4 linked regions of the Xenopus tropicalis genome follow. The protein of the gene in region 2 interacts with the protein of the main gene of each other region in a biochemical or structural test. Links are inferred from orthologs where the notes say so. Each region holds a gene or a part of one and is shown on either strand. Other genes may lie near its edges.

Region 1 (4,299 bases), on a different chromosome or scaffold from region 2:
GGCTCCTTTACCTTGCCTGCACTAGGCGGAACCACAGTTCTGTCCCCAAACACATCTTACCCCTTCCCTTGCTCTCAGGGAAACAACGTGGCTAAATAATAAAGCCATGAGTGCTTTTGTGTGACAGACACAGGCTCCCTAACCCATGGCTTCATGGTCACCTCCTGTGTCACTTTCCCAGGGACTATACATGGGCAATATTACATTTTCCTTCATGTGGACCACGGAACATTTACAGTGATTAGTACATTAATTAGTACTGAAGGCGTCCATTCCACTTCACGGGATTTATGTGGGGACTATGTTTTAGACATTTAGTGTCGTTGTTAGATCAAACCAAATAGTGGCAGGTTGAGGGCAAACAGAAACAAAAGACTTTTATAGAGACCTGTTTGTAGTTGTGAGCTGCTTTCGGTTTGTATCTGCAGAAGGGAGCACATGTGCTAAGTCTGACACGATTCAATGGGAGAAAAACACTACAATTGGGTTCTAATTTATTAAAAATGAAGATGATTTGATTGTAATTAGGTACCAACCCTGTCTCTACAACTCGGAATAAAATGTAGCAATGTAAAGTGCCAGCTCTAGGCCCATACATCGGATTGATCATTTCACAATAAGATGACAGACAGCAGAGCTACCCTGGGCACACTGAGACTCACACACAACTTATGTCCCCGCTGTCTTGCTCTGTGCTCCATTGCACCGTTAGATTGTCAGCTCTGTGAGTTTTGTGTTACACATACACATTTTCTAACTTCATCCCTCCTTTATGATCTACGATATTTTGCATTGATCTGCCTATATGTCCTATAGTGTAAATGGCAGGAAGGTTTCCCAGCTAACGATATTTTATGGTAATGCCATCTCTTATCAGCCCTGTGTTAGCTCCCACACTGAGACCCACTTCTGGCACAAGGTAACTAAAGGTCTCAGTGTTTTTCAGTGTATTTAGATATTACAGGGAAGTACTAACATCCTTTAATATAACAAAGTTAGAAAAGTAACAACTGTTACTGTGCAGTTCCATTCATTCTCTACAAAGTATCATTTGCAAGAACATCACATTATACAGGTGCGAAGGGAGCTTCCCCACATCCCAGTAGAGCTGACCTGTCGTTTTCTTTCAGTGCACTTTGGATTAGTTAGGCTGTGGGAGCCTACATTCGCCAAGCATTCAATCTATCAATCAGCTCTCCCTGTCAGCATACCTTCATGACTTAGGGGTCAACTCGGAATCCGCAGCATTCCCCCCAAAAAACATCCTGGAAGCTATTATGTCCCATCCAGTGTGTAAGTTTCTCTCCCCTCCTAATAAATTGATCCAGAGCCCCCCTTCTCCCACTCCCCCTCTCTCCCCTCTCTCCCCTCTCTCCCTCTCCCTCCCCAGGCTCTGCTGCCAATTTCGATGCATTTACATTTTGCAGCCACGCAGTTGTAACGCTCTCCTAGCCATGTGTTTGTCATTAAGTCTCCCCAGCCAGTCCTGCCCAGGTCTCTACCTTTCCCCAGCATTTCCTTGCCCCCTTTAACTTCACAGCAGCAAAACTGCAAATGAACTGCCCTGCCTTGGCTGCCCTGTATGCATCAACCCCACTGCTGCTTTAACTCTCATTATTACTAGTCATTTCCATGAATCCCATGCTTGCAAAATGCTACGCAGAAGCCACTGGCACAAATGAAATGCATTGCATTCTTGCACAGAAAGATGTAGATATACATTTCTTGAATTATTTTTGGAGAGTGCTTAGCTTTGTATAGTGCTAGCTGTAATGTAGAAGTGTGTGGGATATACCGACACAGCAGTGGGTTTGGAGTTTTTCACTTTCTGCTGTCAAAAGGATCCCATGTGCTCGCTAACTTTTCCTGACTCGCCAAGTTATTAAATGCATGCACCCTGCGCAATTCGAGTGTCACCCATGCAGCCCATGAAAGTTCCGGAGCAGGTTAGTGCTGCTTTCTGCCGGCCCCCATCCTGCCCCTGGCTGCACCTCCTGCCCCTGGCTGCACCTCCTCCCCCTGCTGCCTCTCTACCTTCCCATGCCATGTCCCTACAAGCCTTGGGCTTGCCCCGTACAGACTTACGTGCGATAATCTCCCTTTGTAACAAGTGCTGCGGGTTTCCCTGCTTGCGACGGGACATTGCCCTGGCATTTAAACTGGCATCGCCCGGAGATCTGCTCTGCGTAAGGGCGACCTGGTCTCCTTCCTCCCCCACGTTTCCTTCTTCTTCTTTTCTCTCCTCCTCTCTTTTATTTATTCTTCTTCTTGTCTCCTTCTTTAATGCTATAAAAATATTTAATAACGAAATGCAATAAACGTCCTCCTTTCAGCAAGAAATCAAATAAGGAGGGCACCAGTTTCTCCACTTGGCTTTCCAATCTCTTCTTCAACTTAGGAATTGGCTGATCTTGTGTCCACTCGTCCTATGTCCACAGTGCACGGCAATGGCACTTCTTCCATCAATGCACAAAATTAACAACAAAATAGAAATAATAATTAAAAAAAAACTACGACTGCCCAAATAATGCCAAAATGAGAGGCTTGACCCTGCTGGTTTAGGGGGTTGCCAGAGAGTGTCTCCTTCCAGTTAGACTGGCACTGCCCTGGAATGCAGTGCCCAGCACTTTGCTGCTCCACTTGTCTGGCACTGGAAGGACTTGCTGAGCCAGTGCTGTGCTGCTGGCTATTACTATTTAATTGTAATGTGAAGATGGCGGAGTCCTGGTTCTCTGGGAGCTCTCTGTCTCTCTGTGGCTAGGTCTGCCTCTGTACAATGGGATAAAATTCAAGTTCAAGTACGGACGTGACGTTTAATCTGCACCAGAGACAAAAAGACCGAGAGAGTAGGAGCACTGGGGGCGACTAGTGGTGGCTTTTTAACATTGTACCCTGAACACAACAAGAAAAACCACATGCCTACAGCACAGGGCTTTTGTACAGCTCTCATTCTCCAGCAGCACCCCACTGCTTGCTAAACCCATGCACTGGCACACACACTGATATTAAGGTAGCAGGCAAAGCACTGGCACCTTCTCCTCTTTTTTTTGAGAAAGGGAAGTTCACTATACAAATGTTCCAGGTCAGTTCTATGTGGCATCTTATCAAATACCTAAAGCACTTCATGTCTCCTGCCAGAAATGCCTGTTTCAAATGCAAGCTCTGTAGTACAAAAAAGTCTCTGCAACTTGTGCTGTTTGCATGGTAAGGGATTAGATGGTTTATTATATAAGTGACAGGTTTTTTTTACTATCATGCTAAATTACCAAAGATTTACAATTGCACAGAACTCTTATATACCCAAGACAGTGACCACTGGACTTCCTGCTTGCTAAACTGAAGGGGGGAACACAAACTAATGAATAGCAGAGATCCCACTGTATTATGTCTGTGTGGGGGGGGGGGGTCTGTCCACTTCACTAGGAAATACCATTACACTGACTGTGTTTAAGATTTTGCATTGCACTGCAGTGTGGTGAAAGGGTTAAATTATTTTGGCTTGCATCCAATGATTATGTGGAGTCTATTTAACAAAAAGAACAATTGTTTAATTTCTGCAATTTGCCAGTAAAATGTATTTTGCATGAACAAGATACTTTCCAATACAGTGGATTTTAGAATATTTTTGTTCTGTACTATAAAACACATTCTATCAGTGGTTTTTAATATCAAGTTTTGTATTTTGCTTCCCAAATTAAGCATATAGACATCTTATGGATAAGGTTATCCTTGCAAATACTGTAATATCTCTATCAATAAAGACAGCACACTGAAGATACATTATATGTATATATGTTTTTTTTTCTCTAATAAGCACCCATTTTATGCCTCTATATTTATTTCACACAGCTTCTGTCTGTGTGAACATGAAAATAATTTCAAAAGATTTCACAGAAGGAAAAAAATGATAATCATGTAGCATGGAATTAAAAAAAAAGTTAAAATAGCCACGGTGACATATTGTACATCATTGATGGAATTTGTAATAATTAAACGGATAAGACAATAAAACATCATTGCCGTTTTCTCCCGGAGGACACCTTTTCTTTCTGATGCTCATAAGAAATATGCAGAATGGGGGAAAATGCAGGAGGCAAAAGCCAGAGGATTTGCAGAAGGTGAAGAAAGGAGATTGAGGGAGACAATTAAAAGAACTGGGGACATGTTGTGAACACAGGAATTCATTCTACCAACACATAAACATACGCATACTACACACATGTATAATTACACCCAAACATATTTATTTACATTTCTGTCACACATGGGGTGACATCACTTCAATTACGTTAAGCAAAA
Region 2 (4,292 bases):
TCCGCTAGATGGCAGCCACAGCCAGCGATTCTGCCGCTGAAAGGCATGTGCGTCTCTAACAGGGTGCCTGTGCTGCTGGGACTCTTACAGGCATTGATCCTGCCAGACAACAAAAAGGGACAGGAGCTGCGTTTCATTAATAATTCCTCTAACGCTGTGGCGCAACTTCTCCACTAAATATCGCACTATAGCGGGGGATAGATATAAATATTTGCTCAAATACAGATACACATTTTTTTTATTATTATTCTCATTGTTAGAGATCAGTGGGAAAGTGCAGGGGGGTGCGGACAGGGAGTGAGAGTGCTGCTGGGGAGAGAGTGAGATTCCTTTTGACATCAATCTAAATAATTCACAGTCTCCTCATTTTTACATCTTCATCTCCAGGCCGTGTAAGTTCTGCCATTTTCCCATCAGCCACTCCAAGTGGTGCATTTTGTTGTGGCCCATGCTAATCAGGGCTGCGAGCAAATGGCAGCAGCGGGCAGGCAGGCGATGTGAATGAACAGTGCGCTTGTCAGAGCCCCCCCCCCCCCCCCCCCCCCATCATTCTCCCTCCTTCCAGCCCCAGTCGTAGGTAACAAGGCAAATGGAAAAGGGGGGGCCTGAGGCACAAGTGATCCCACCAATAGGAAGAGGGGGCTTGGCTAACCTTAGCCTCCCATTTTTCTTCCCCCCCAACTCGGGGCTCTGACCAGTCAGTCGCCTTTGATTATCAGTTGCCAGCAGCCCCTCTCTTGGCTCCTTGACATGAGCACCATATAAGGCAGCGATCTCCATAGAAACGTGTCAGTTTCAATAGTAGTGTCAAAGTTCACTATATACAGACAGTCGCGCAGATCCCCCTTTCGGAAACGTTGCTCCGCTGCTCTTCCCGTTTAAACGCATTCATTTGTGTGTGTGACTCTGTGCCTTCCCTTCTCCCGACTTCTCTTCTTATTGCATATTCTATTAGGTGTCGTCTGGGCTTTTTTTTTCCTTTTCTTTTTCCCCCCTTTGCCTCCCTCACTCCATTCCTGCAGGAGAGCTCCGCACAGCACCGACCGCTCCAGCCCATTGTTATTATTATTCTATTCTCAGAATCGCAGTGTCGCTGCTCCAGGAGGATACCGGTGTCTCTCTCTGACTTTTCCTGCGACTTTTTGTGTTTTTTTTTCCAACTGACTTGAGAAGCCAAAGAGCAGAAGGAGAAGCGGAGCCGCCGGCCGGTACAGCCACAGCCCGACCCCTATCAGAGCCTTGTTATTCCGGGCAGATGGGATAAGCCGGGCTCTGTCTCCTCATGGTGCGGACGGGTCGGAACCTTCTCTCGCTGTTTGTGACTTGTGATGCAATGAGAGTCGCACCGGGGTTATTTCTCCATCGCTCCCAATAAAGAGAGCATTTGCCAAGCGACAGATCGCGGAGGGAGGGAAGCGCCTGATCTGCTCCAGGCTGTGGATGAGGCAGATTCCCAGGACTGGCTCTATGAATGGCTGACTGCATTTTGCCCTGGATTTGGCCCCCGGACACTAACAAACCCTGATCAGGTCCCCCCACCCACCCCCTCCAAAGATTTATTCTTCATCGCCCTCCCTCCCGTCACCCAGGCCGGCTGCACACTGCTCCGTCCTGCAGAGCCCGCTGCCCCTGGCCGCCCTATGTCTGCCGGCGAAATTGGGGCTGCGAATCCCGCCGCCTCCCCAGCCTGAACCCTCCTCCTGCAGCCCGCAGCCCGGAGACCAGGGGAGGAGGACCAGATCGACACTCAGGGGAGGGGGGGAACAGTTGAAGCCGCACTTCCAGCGCCCAGCCGGGCACACAATACATCATTAGCTCCTGAGCCCATTTCACTGTGCAAGAGACAGGGGGAAATCCCTTGAGCGCTAATCCAAGGAAACGGCTCCCAGCAGCGGCCAGCACCACGGCAGAGACAGCCAGCTTCTTCTTCTCCTCCAGGATCAAATCCCCCCAGACCGCGGCCATAAGCTCCCTCTCCAGCACTTTCTGGGCCCGAGATATGGCAATGGTAGTTAGCAGCTGGAGAGATCCGCAGGAGGACGTGGCCGGGGGAAATCCGGGAGGCCCCAACCCGGGGGCCAGGGAGCAACAGCAAGCGCCCTCCGCTGCCCCCCACACGCCTCAGACCCCCAGCCAGCCGGGACCCCCATCCACCCCCGGTGCAGCCGGGGACAAGGGCCAGCAGGGCTCCGGGCAGAGTCAGCAGCAGCACATCGAGTGCGTCGTGTGTGGGGACAAGTCGAGCGGCAAGCACTACGGCCAGTTCACCTGCGAGGGCTGCAAAAGTTTCTTCAAGAGGAGCGTCCGCAGGAACTTAACGTACACATGTCGCGCCAACCGCAACTGCCCCATAGACCAGCACCACCGCAACCAGTGCCAGTACTGCCGCCTGAAGAAGTGCCTCAAAGTGGGCATGAGGAGGGAAGGTGAATATTTGCTCTGGGCACCGGTGTGTGTGTCTGTGTGTGTGTCTATGTGTGTGTGTGTGTGAGTGCGCCTGCCTGGCCCAATATGTATGACTTGCTGATGCATTGTGGCGCTATTAATATTAATAATCGCTGCGTTCCCCGCGTGTCTAGCTTTGTGTGGGTTTTGTCTGTGGAAGCATGCTGTGGGCTGTTGGCTGAGCCTCTCTATTCATGTGCTCCATCCCTTCCCTCTCTCTCTCTCTCTCCCTCTCTCTGTCATCATTAAAAGACACACACACACAGCAAGTTCAGCCAAGCACCTCTCCCCCACCAATCCACATGAAAACAATGCAATTTACTGTACTTTCCATCCATGCTCTGGGCACTCCAGGCATCCTCTAGTTCCTCTAGTTCCAGCAATTCGTGGCCTTGCTAAACACATGCCCTCTCTGCTCCACTTCATATTCTTCATATTCAAAATGCATTTATTCTTCATATACAGTCCATTTTCATTATGCCATCCCTCTCTTTAATCCAGACATAATTTAAATTAGCAGCCACCTTGTTTAAGAAGGTTGTATTGTATTTTATATATAGGCCATTATCTCACACACTTTACAGAGAGAACTAAAAGTTTCCTCCCTTTCGTTACAGAAGCTTAAAGTGTGTGAATGAATGGGGTGAGGCTGTATATGCGGGGTCCGTAGCTGCCTTGTACTTGTTCCTGCCTGTCAGTGGGTTTTGTGTATCTGTGTCAGGTTGTCAGTGTGTGTAAGTTTATGTGTGTAGGAGTAGACAAACTGTTACATCATTGACACATCCTGATACATAGTGATATATAAAAAATATTGTGTACTTGTGTATTTGTATTAGATTGTGTGATTGGTATTTTGGGTGGTTGTGTACAGTAAAGAAAAGTAATGTTTTGTGAGAATGAATGTGTGTGTGAGTGTGTGACTATGTACAAATAGATACAGTGTAACAATCAAGCCAGTGCCCAATGCTCTGCACATAGGCATCACCGCATTTACAAACCACGCTGAAACTTATATAAAACCAAAAGTCACGTTAATATTTCCAAGGTAATTTAGGTGAGGAAAGCAGGAAGCAAATACATTCATCCATAGGCTTATAATTGTTCTATATTTTATCTCTAATGAACAGGTTACTCCACTTGTATTTAAATGCAAAGCGTCGCCATCTAAAAATCCGAGGTTTTATTAAAAATGCAGCAGCCTGGGAATACTTGTCCTGTATAGTGAGAGCCTATCAATACCAGACATGCTAGTCATTTAAATTGGCCCACTACACAAATCATTGCCATATGATTGCATTGCATGGGGTGAGTTCATATTTTTTGTGTGTCTGTGTGGGTTCTAAATTTAGTTCAGTTTCCATTTTCTTTTTGTTAGTTTTCATGTCCTGAGAGCAGGCAGTTAGCGCCTATGGAGTGAGCCCCCACGTCCCCATTAGAACAGTTTGTGAGCTTTGCAAGCAGGGAGCATAAATAAGCTTGCTCACGTTTAGCATCCTTGCACTTAATGATCCAGTGTTTTGCATTGCCACGTTTGGTCACTCACTCTGCCAGCAGCCACACTGCACCAAGCCTTGCATACATTAATTGGCTTCTCCTCACTATGTTTAATTATTGTAAGTCCAATTTTATCTTCTATTCTCATTGTTTCACTGTATCACTTCGGATATTCCGTGTGTTTGAAATGATTGTAGATCCTGACTATTGATGAATATATATATATATATATATATATTAAGTATATATACATATAGTGATGTGTGTGTATATATATATATATATATATATATATATATATATATATATATACATACAGTCATATATATTTATATATTAATACACATGATATA
Region 3 (4,074 bases), on a different chromosome or scaffold from region 2:
TAGCGTTTAGTGTGTTTTTAGCAAACATAAGTATGGTGATCCAAATTACAGACATTTCTCTTAGCTGAAAAACCCCAGGTCCCAATCATTCTGGGGATACAATATACTTCTAGATCTGCTAATGCCCTGTAAATGTGAGGCAATGGCAGAATTTTCTATTGGACAGACTGATCAAATGGGATAGCAGGTAGGTCTGTCAAAAATACTCCATAAAGGTCCCCATACACGGGCCGATTGTAGCTGCCGATAAGTCCCTTGGACTGATTCGGCAGCTTTTCGGCCTGTGTAGGGTCAGCAACGACTGGACTGGCCTGCCCAACCGATATCTGGCCTGAAATTGGGCAAATATTGATCGGGCAGGTTAAAAGATTCAGTCCGACCGGGGACCGCATCGGCTCGTTGATGCGGTCCCCGAACCAACTGCGCCCTTTACAGTCATACCGAATTAGCCTAAATTCCCCGATATCACCCACCCGTAGGTGGGGATATCGGGAGAAGATCCGCTCGCTCTGCGATCTCGCCAGGCGAGCGGATCGTTACGTGTATGGCCACCTTAAGAGGTCAAATTCAGCAATGTCAGTCATTCTTTAACATATGCAACCATTAGCAAAGTTAAACATTACAGTCCATGAAATTCAAGGGTTTATGAACATTTATTTAGCAGTGTTTACCCATCTCTTTACAACTGGCCTAAACACTAAACTTTTAGCTTTATAAAGAGTGGCACACACTTCTAGCACACCCTCCTCTTTACTGCACTAATATTCCCAAAATTACAACTTATGTTCCCTTACCCCATTGAAGCATGTTTAGAACGCACACTGTGTTCAGAGAGTGTTTTTTTTTTTTAAAGACCCTTGGGATCTATTGATGAATCTTCAAATAAGATATCACTTTCTAAAACTGGTGCCCAAGCTTCAAGTTTTCACACTAAGGGACACATTTATTAAATGGATGAAAATAGACACTTCACCATAGGAAGGTTTTACAGGTCCATATTCTCTTGCACCTTTTTGCTCCAGGAGGACGATATTTTGTTCCACTGCATACTTTTAAGTATATTGTTGGGATGACAATAAACCGCTACTTACTCTAGGGGCAAATTTTTCAAGGAATAATGCGCTTTTATAGTATTTTAGGGGCATATTTATCAAAGTTAATAAGTGATGGGTAGATTTATTTTCACTCAGATAAATATGCCCATACGTTATATGTAAATGTTTTGACTGCGTGTTTAGGTCCTGCTGTTACTAGCCTTTTAACCCAGGGAGAAAGCGGAGCTATTAAAGTCCATTTTTTCCCCAGAATAGTCAATATAAGGGAAAGATCAGAACTTCTTTAGCATTAAAGACTCATCTACAGGCCCCCTGCCAAGCAAATGCCAAACATGACTGCAGCCAGCCTCATAGCCACATACACCTGACAGCGCCATGCCACACCATTTAGACACCTACGTAGCTCTGACTGAAGCAGCTAAATGTAATTAAAAGCCAGAAGAGAAGTGCATACATCAAAAGCCCTACAGATCAGGGCACCAAAGTGGATTCCAATGCTTTAAGGTGAGTGACTTACAGTGTTGCTTCTACTTAAAATGAAATAAGCCACATTATAATTAAGTATATTATAAATAATACTTGGGTCACAAAACTTTTAGACTTTGCTCTGGTCCCCAGAGAAAAAGGTCAGGAAACTCAGGTCAATAGAATGATAGCAACTAACATAGCAACCAGTGGGGAAGCCAAAGCCACTATTGCAGGGATATTGCCCTATAGCGGAGACAAGAACCCACCCGGTTTACAGAATCACAAAACAGTACTAGGTTATCTTCTAGAACAGGGATCCCCAACCTTTTTTACCCGTGAGCTACATTTAAGTGTAAAAAGACTTGGGGAGCAACACGAGCATGAAACATGTACCTGGGGGTGCCAAATAAGGACTGTTATTGGCTATTTGGCAGCCCCTATATGGACTGCCAGCCTAATAGGAGACTCTGTTTGGCAGTACACCTGGTTTTTATGCCTCCAAAACTTGCCCCCAAGCCAAGAATTCAAAAATAAGCACTTTATTTGAGGCCACTGGGAGCAACATCCAAAGGGTTGGGGAGCAACATGTTGCTCACGAGCCACTGGTTGGGGACCACTGTTCTAGACTTTAAAAGCCCCTTAGTTAATAAAAAGGACAGACAGGCATTGCTGCATTAGCCAATCAGCTGTAGCCCAGGGGCAGTCAGTTTAACAGGGTCTCCTGTCCAAATTGCTCAGTGGCCCTCAACCTGGGCTAATAGGGCAAATAAGTACTATCCCTAAATCTCCCCATAACTGGACTATGCTGAATCCCATAGTTAAGGGCCCACCACAAAACCCTATCACCATTGAGAAAACATAGTAATAATGGCTCGTTCCACCAATCCCCATTGCAGGATAATATTGGCCCAGTTAGGCTGCAGGGCACAAAGGATTCCAGCCATGAAGGCGAACTTGACAGCGCTGGCTTCCATAACTCACTGCATTACAATCCCCACCATTCCCCCAGCGACTAATACAAAGTTCACAGGGACTACGGCCGAACAACTGCACCGTACGGCACGATTAGTTCTGATTTAGGGGCCGTATAGAGAGTTTCATATTCGCTCCCCAGTAGGGTCGTCACCCCGCGTAATAGAAAGCGAAAGTCTATCCAAAGCAGCCCCCCGCTGCATGCTGCCCACGGACAGGACAAACACAACTGCAAAGGCACCAAAAGGTAGGTAACATACTAACCGACTCGTCGACGCCATGACTGTCTTCTAACGCCGACTTTTCAATCTGCTTTGAAACAAGCCCGACAGACGGCGCGCTCTTCCTTATATAGACTAGCCAGTCACGTGCCCAGTGAGGCAGGGCGGCCGGCGCACAGCGGATGTCACATGTATGCGCAGCACTGCCAGCTACAGAGAGACAGCGCCGGGCTTAGTTACGTGTGCGTAATACGGAGGAACGTACAGGCGTCTGAGTTTTGGCGAGATGCAGTGTGGGTATACTCTGTCATTTCCCTTTGGTACGCAGTTTATTTTACTACTACTCTCAACCTAGTACAAGTAAGCAGTAACTTTGTTATGTTTTCTTATATAAAATATATATTTTTCTTGAAATTCTTTTATGTGGTGGTATAGCCGTATCTGGGATTGATTCCCACAACTTTCATTAAAATTCTTAACTATTAAATGGGGAAATATTGCTAAAGATAATAAAAAAAAACCAAAAAACTTTTATACAGAAACAATGGCCGGAGTAGAATATGTGTGGGGCAATAAGGCTGCCCCAGCTGAGGATTAATGGACACTTAGGGGCGTATTTATTATGCTGTGTAAAACTAATTCGTAGTAAAAAGCTGTGTAAAATAAATGGAAAAGATCGCCACCTGAATGTCGGATATTACGCCGTTATTTTCCCATAAGTTCGGGTGGAAGAAAAAACGCGTAAAACAATTACGCCATTTTTACACGGCGAAGCCTGGCGAATTTTTTTTTTTTTTTTACACAGCATAATAAATATGCCCCTTAAGGTGGCCATACACTGTAAGGTCAGCAAATGAGCTGATATTCATTATGCCCACTCGCGGGGTACGATTGAATTAAAACAGAGGGTACAGGAGCTGTCAGTTTGGGGACTGCATCAATGTGCAGTCAATGTGGTCCCTGACCCAACATAAAAATCAAACCTGCCCAATAGAGATCTGGCCGATTTTAGGCCAGATGTCGGTTGGGGTGGCCTGTCGTGCGTGCCCATACATGGGCAGATAAGCTGCTGAATTGGTCTGAAGGACCGATAGCAGCTAAAATCAGCCTGTATATGGCTACCGTAAGTTGCGACTAGGCTAGCTACTATACAGGGCGTATGTTTACCTAGCGGTGATTTATATTAATGCAGATGGGAAGGAAACATGGGTCGTTAAGCCCGCATCGCTGCTAGAAGAGATTTGGAGCACTTGAAAATATGTCCCCTTTGCGAGGGCCTCTTATCTTTCTGCTAAGAATGTCCTGCTTCACACAAAGCATAACAGGGCTCATTTATATACATTGGGCAAGTTTGTAAT
Region 4 (4,192 bases), on a different chromosome or scaffold from region 2:
TTGCCTCTCTGTGTGCCAGTGCTGTACTCCCTGTGTGAGGTGGGAGCATGTTGCCTCTCTGTGTGCCAGTGCTGTACTCCCTATGTGAGGTGGGAGCATGTTGTCTCTCTGTATGCCAGTGCTGTACTCCCTGTGTGAGGTGGGAGCATGTTGCCTCTCTGTGTGCCAGTGCTGTACTCCCTGTGTGAGGTGGGAGCATGTTGCCTCTCTGTGTGCCAGTGCTGTACTCCCTGTGTGAGGTGGGAGCATGTTGCCTCTCTGTGTGCCAGTGCTGTACTCCCTATGTGAGGTGGGAGCATGTTGCCTCTCTGTGTGCCAGTGCTGTACTCCCTGTGTGAGGTGGGAGCATGTTGCCTCTCTGTGTGCCAGTGCTGTACTCCCTGTGTGAGGTGGGAGTATGTTCCCATGTTGCCTCTCTGTGTGCCAGTGCTGTACTCCCTGTGTGAGGTGGGAGCATGTTTCCTCTCTGTGTGCCAGTGCTGTACTCCCTGTGTGAGGTGTGAGCATGTTCCCATGTTGCACCCAGCGCCACAGTGTATCCTCGCCCACCCCCAGCCCTATCGCACATTCATGGAGACGCCTTCTACACAAGTGCTTGTGCTAAATATTAATACCTGTCTTGTACCATCAGCGCCCCACTCACTTCTTCCCGCAACAACTTCATAAACCCCTCCCTGGGCTCGCCTCTAACTTCCATTTCCCTCTCATGGTTCCTCATACCGGACCCGTCATTCTCCTGCCGCCCCAGCCCGAGTGTAGGTCTCAGCACCATCTTATACCCCGTGAGGTGATTCTCCCTGACCCCTTGCTGTCTCTCCCACCCCCCCCCCGCTCCCTGGGCTCGCCCCCCTTAGCCCCAGTGAGTGTGCCAGAGACTGTGATCCCTTTCCCCTGTGTTATCTCCACAGCAGGATCACATTCCAGTTCTCCTCTCGCCTTATTTCCTTTCTCCCTCTCAATAAGCAGCGGCAGCGGCAGCGGCAGTAGTACCAGCAGCCTGTGTGTAGCTTCTCCTCCCCCCTCCCGCTTGTACCGTGTGTGCCCTCATTCCCACCCCCCTCTCTCTCTCATCACTGGCCATTGGCTTTGCCCGGGTCTCATTTTCCTGTCCAGCCCCTTATGAATGTCCATTGGTGTTGGCTTCCCTCCTCCCCTTCTCTCCCACTGGCCCTGCCCATGTTTTCTATGTCTCTGTCCATCCAGCTCCTGACGTTCAAGTTTGCAGGGACGTCACGTCCGCACTTGAACTTGCAGCTCAGGGGGGCTTTTGCCATTTTTTTTCATTTCTCTCCTTCTCTATCTCTCTCTCTCTCCTTTTTTTTCACCCCCCTCCAAAAAAAAAAAAAAAAATGTCATGACGGCTTGTCCCACAATTCATCTTCCCCGCACCATCTTTGTATTATTTCTAATTTATTTTGGATGTCAAAGGCATTTGATGAAGATATTTTCTCTGGAGTCTCCTTCTTTCTAACCCTGCTCTCCCGATGTGAACCGAGCTCTTACGAGCCACCCACCGACCGACATGTCTCGCCGCAAGCAAGGCAAGCCGCAGCACTTAAGCAAACGGGAATACTCACGTAAGTACCGATCCCACACTTACCTGCCCGCACAGCTGCCCACTGCTCCAATGCAAAAGGTGAGAGCATGACAAAACCACTGACAAGAAGGGGGAAAAAATCTTCAAGACTTTCTATGGAGCCTTTCATGTCTTCAGAAGTAGAAAGCCAAATACTTTTCATAGAAAGGATAAGAGATTGTGGCAGAGGGGGTAAAAAGCCAAATGTTGCAGAGAGTGGGGGTGATAGTGGCCACAGCACAGAGACCATGCAGAAGGGATGACATGGGAATCAGTAGGCAAGTGTGGGCTTTTTATGAGCAATTCTTCTTTTACTTGAACTTAAAAGTGGTGACCTGAAGGTGTAAGGTTTGGGCAGCGCTGGGTGCTTTTTGGCTTGCTGCAGGCATGGGGCATGCTGTATAGGCTGCTCTATCAACTGCTCGCTGGAGCCCAGGGAAAGAGACTGCTGCAAGAGGGAATCTCCTCTGTGGCCGCTGCTGCTGCTTTTCTTCCCAAAGAAATCTTCATTCTTCTTTCAAAACTTTTTATTTTTTTCCTCGTTCCACCGCCGGCAGAGGAAATCCCTTCCTTTTCCCTCTCTCTCCCTTTCGCTCCCTCTCTCGCTCTCACTCTCTTACTATTTTTTGGAAGATTTTCAAAAAAAGTGGAAGTGGATTTTGATTGGGAAAAATCTCGTGTCTGAATGTTTACAAGCACCGCGTGTGCAGAGCCTCCTGCCAACAACTGAGGACAGGAAAAGCAAAATAATCTCCAGAAAAAAAGCAACAGAATGCACACACACGCACACACTCGCACACAAAAACCCTCTGAAGAGGCAGCTCGGCCGTGAAAGAAATCAAATTGTCTGTCACTTTGTGACTCAGAAAAGGTTGGAGAGGGTTCTCGAAGCAAGTTGTTGGTGTTGTTGTTTTGGGTGCCGAGCACTTTTCGCCGCTTTGTGAAAAAAATAACGTGTGAATGTGCAGTGCAGAATTCCCTCGATCTGATGTGAAAAGGTTCCAGACTGATTTATGTCATCTATATATCCATATTGTTTCCTGGTGTCTGAAACCCCTTGTTGTGACATTTATGGATTCTTGAAAAAAATGTGCTTATTTGCATCTGTTTTTTGTTTTTGTTCAGCATGGATTCCCCATGACACATTTCTTTCATTCCATAAATCTCTTCGACCCCTTCAGGTACCGGCCAGACCATAGGTGAAAGTCATTTTACCTGTAGTATTTCTTTATATTATCATTTTGTTGCTCTTTGGTTCAGGTTCTCTTTCCTTTTGTCTGTTGATCTTTTATATAAATGTGGGTGTTTGCATCTTATCACATTTACAATACCGGATATCAGACATGACCCCATAGCATGACCCAGTCCTTTGGGAATAGAATTTCATATTTTTAGTTATTGTTCCACGTCTTTGTTACATGTTGATATTTGCTTTTTATAGTTTATATTGGTGTATTATTTTCTTATTCACAGTTAACTTTTTTCCATTCTTGTTGTCAGCAATAATGCCTTTTTTTCTGTCTGAACCCACCCCCACCCCTTGCCAAGGGAGCTCCAGGGGATTGATCACCAACATGAGGTTTCACTTAAGACTTGCTTAGAGATACCAGATCTGACCGCTAGGGAGCAGAGGAAGATTAGGAAACCTATCAGCTTAAACCTTTAACTCGTTCAATGTATATTCCTTCATTTTCATATTCCTTTTCTTCCTGGTGGGGGTGAATGGGTAGAATATATTTTCTCCTCTTCATTTCTTTGTCTTTTTTCCTCATCTCACTCTAATTATTCATGTATTTATTTGCGCAGAGCAACCCAGTTTTAAGGTATAAACAGTTTTCGAGTTTATATTTTATTGATGATGAATTATTTTGAAAACTGTATTTATACACTAACTCGCTTTCCTCATAAATGTTACAATGAAAGAAAAACGTTGCCTTGCAGAATAAGACCCGTTTTCCCCACTTGCTAAAAATCACCCACCTCTTTGTAAATAAGTAACATTCATAAATGGGTCAGAAATGAACGTGGTATGCCAACATGCATTATTTTATCAGATTACCAGCTCTCAATTTAGTTGTGTAGTAATTGCTTTTTTACCCCCACCCAAAAACTGAAATTAATCGCATTTCTAAACATCTTTCCTATATATACATTCATTAAAATGTAAAAGTTATTTCGTAAATGAAATTGCTGTCTTTGCTATGTTTCTGGCTGTTTACGTTGTCTGCACTTCTGGTTTTGACTGCGGGCACAATGTAGCAGAAGTCAACTGATTAACAGACCTTGAGGAGAATTGGCTTCTGCTACATTGTTTCAAGAGTCAGAGAACAGAAAGGGATCAGCAAATACCATTTTTGGTAGCAATTACATTTACAAATAAAACCACTGAACTTTTTGAATGAATGTACATGGGATTTTCTTTAATTTACAAAAAGCAGTTTTGGGGGTGCACCCCTTTAAGTCAGAGGTTTAGTTGGGACTTTTTTTTTTTGCCCGTCCATTTTTTTTTTTAAAGTTTACATCGTTCTGTTCTCCATTAGCCCAGATGAAGGAAGCAAGGAGGCTTGTGTAAGAGGGGGAGGGGAGGGAAACAGGTTTTTCCTAAAACAGAGAGGT

Evidence for each region. The genes of interacting proteins can lie anywhere in the genome.
Region 1: the proteins of nr2f1 (region 2) and bcl11b form a complex in vitro, tested with the Homo sapiens proteins (2 studies listed by BioGRID). The link is inferred for Xenopus tropicalis from reciprocal best matches to the Homo sapiens genes NR2F1 and BCL11B.
Region 3: the proteins of nr2f1 (region 2) and gtf2b form a complex in vitro, tested with the Homo sapiens proteins (2 studies listed by BioGRID and IntAct). The link is inferred for Xenopus tropicalis from reciprocal best matches to the Homo sapiens genes NR2F1 and GTF2B.
Region 4: the proteins of nr2f1 (region 2) and bcl11a form a complex in vitro, tested with the Homo sapiens proteins (2 studies listed by BioGRID). The link is inferred for Xenopus tropicalis from reciprocal best matches to the Homo sapiens genes NR2F1 and BCL11A.

The regions. Positions count from the first base shown.
Region 1 is NC_030684.2:90,496,493-90,500,791, forward strand, and holds the start of bcl11b (B-cell lymphoma/leukemia 11B), read right to left. Parts: upstream 2,804-4,299; 5' UTR 2,144-2,803; coding exon 2,086-2,143; intron 1-2,085. UniProt on the Homo sapiens protein: Key regulator of both differentiation and survival of T-lymphocytes during thymocyte development in mammals.
Region 2 is NC_030677.2:178,175,088-178,179,379, reverse strand, and holds the start of nr2f1 (COUP transcription factor 1), read left to right. Parts: upstream 1-1,483; 5' UTR 1,484-1,999; coding exon 2,000-2,426; intron 2,427-2,688; exon of another isoform or gene 2,689-3,949; coding exon of another isoform or gene 3,950-4,058; intron 4,059-4,292. UniProt on the Homo sapiens protein: Coup (chicken ovalbumin upstream promoter) transcription factor binds to the ovalbumin promoter and, in conjunction with another protein (S300-II) stimulates initiation of transcription. Binds to both direct repeats and palindromes of the 5'-AGGTCA-3' motif.
Region 3 is NC_030680.2:105,691,127-105,695,200, reverse strand, and holds the start of gtf2b (transcription initiation factor IIB), read right to left. Parts: upstream 2,804-4,074; 5' UTR 2,777-2,803; coding exon 2,760-2,776; intron 1-2,759. UniProt on the Homo sapiens protein: General transcription factor that plays a role in transcription initiation by RNA polymerase II (Pol II). Involved in the pre-initiation complex (PIC) formation and Pol II recruitment at promoter DNA.
Region 4 is NC_030681.2:33,979,158-33,983,349, forward strand, and holds the start of bcl11a (B-cell lymphoma/leukemia 11A), read left to right. Parts: upstream 1-1,389; 5' UTR 1,390-1,522; coding exon 1,523-1,577; intron 1,578-1,600; exon of another isoform or gene 1,601-1,683; intron 1,684-2,359; exon of another isoform or gene 2,360-2,447; intron 2,448-2,672; exon of another isoform or gene 2,673-2,757; intron 2,758-4,192. UniProt on the Homo sapiens protein: Transcription factor. Associated with the BAF SWI/SNF chromatin remodeling complex. Binds to the 5'-TGACCA-3' sequence motif in regulatory regions of target genes, including a distal promoter of the HBG1 hemoglobin subunit gamma-1 gene.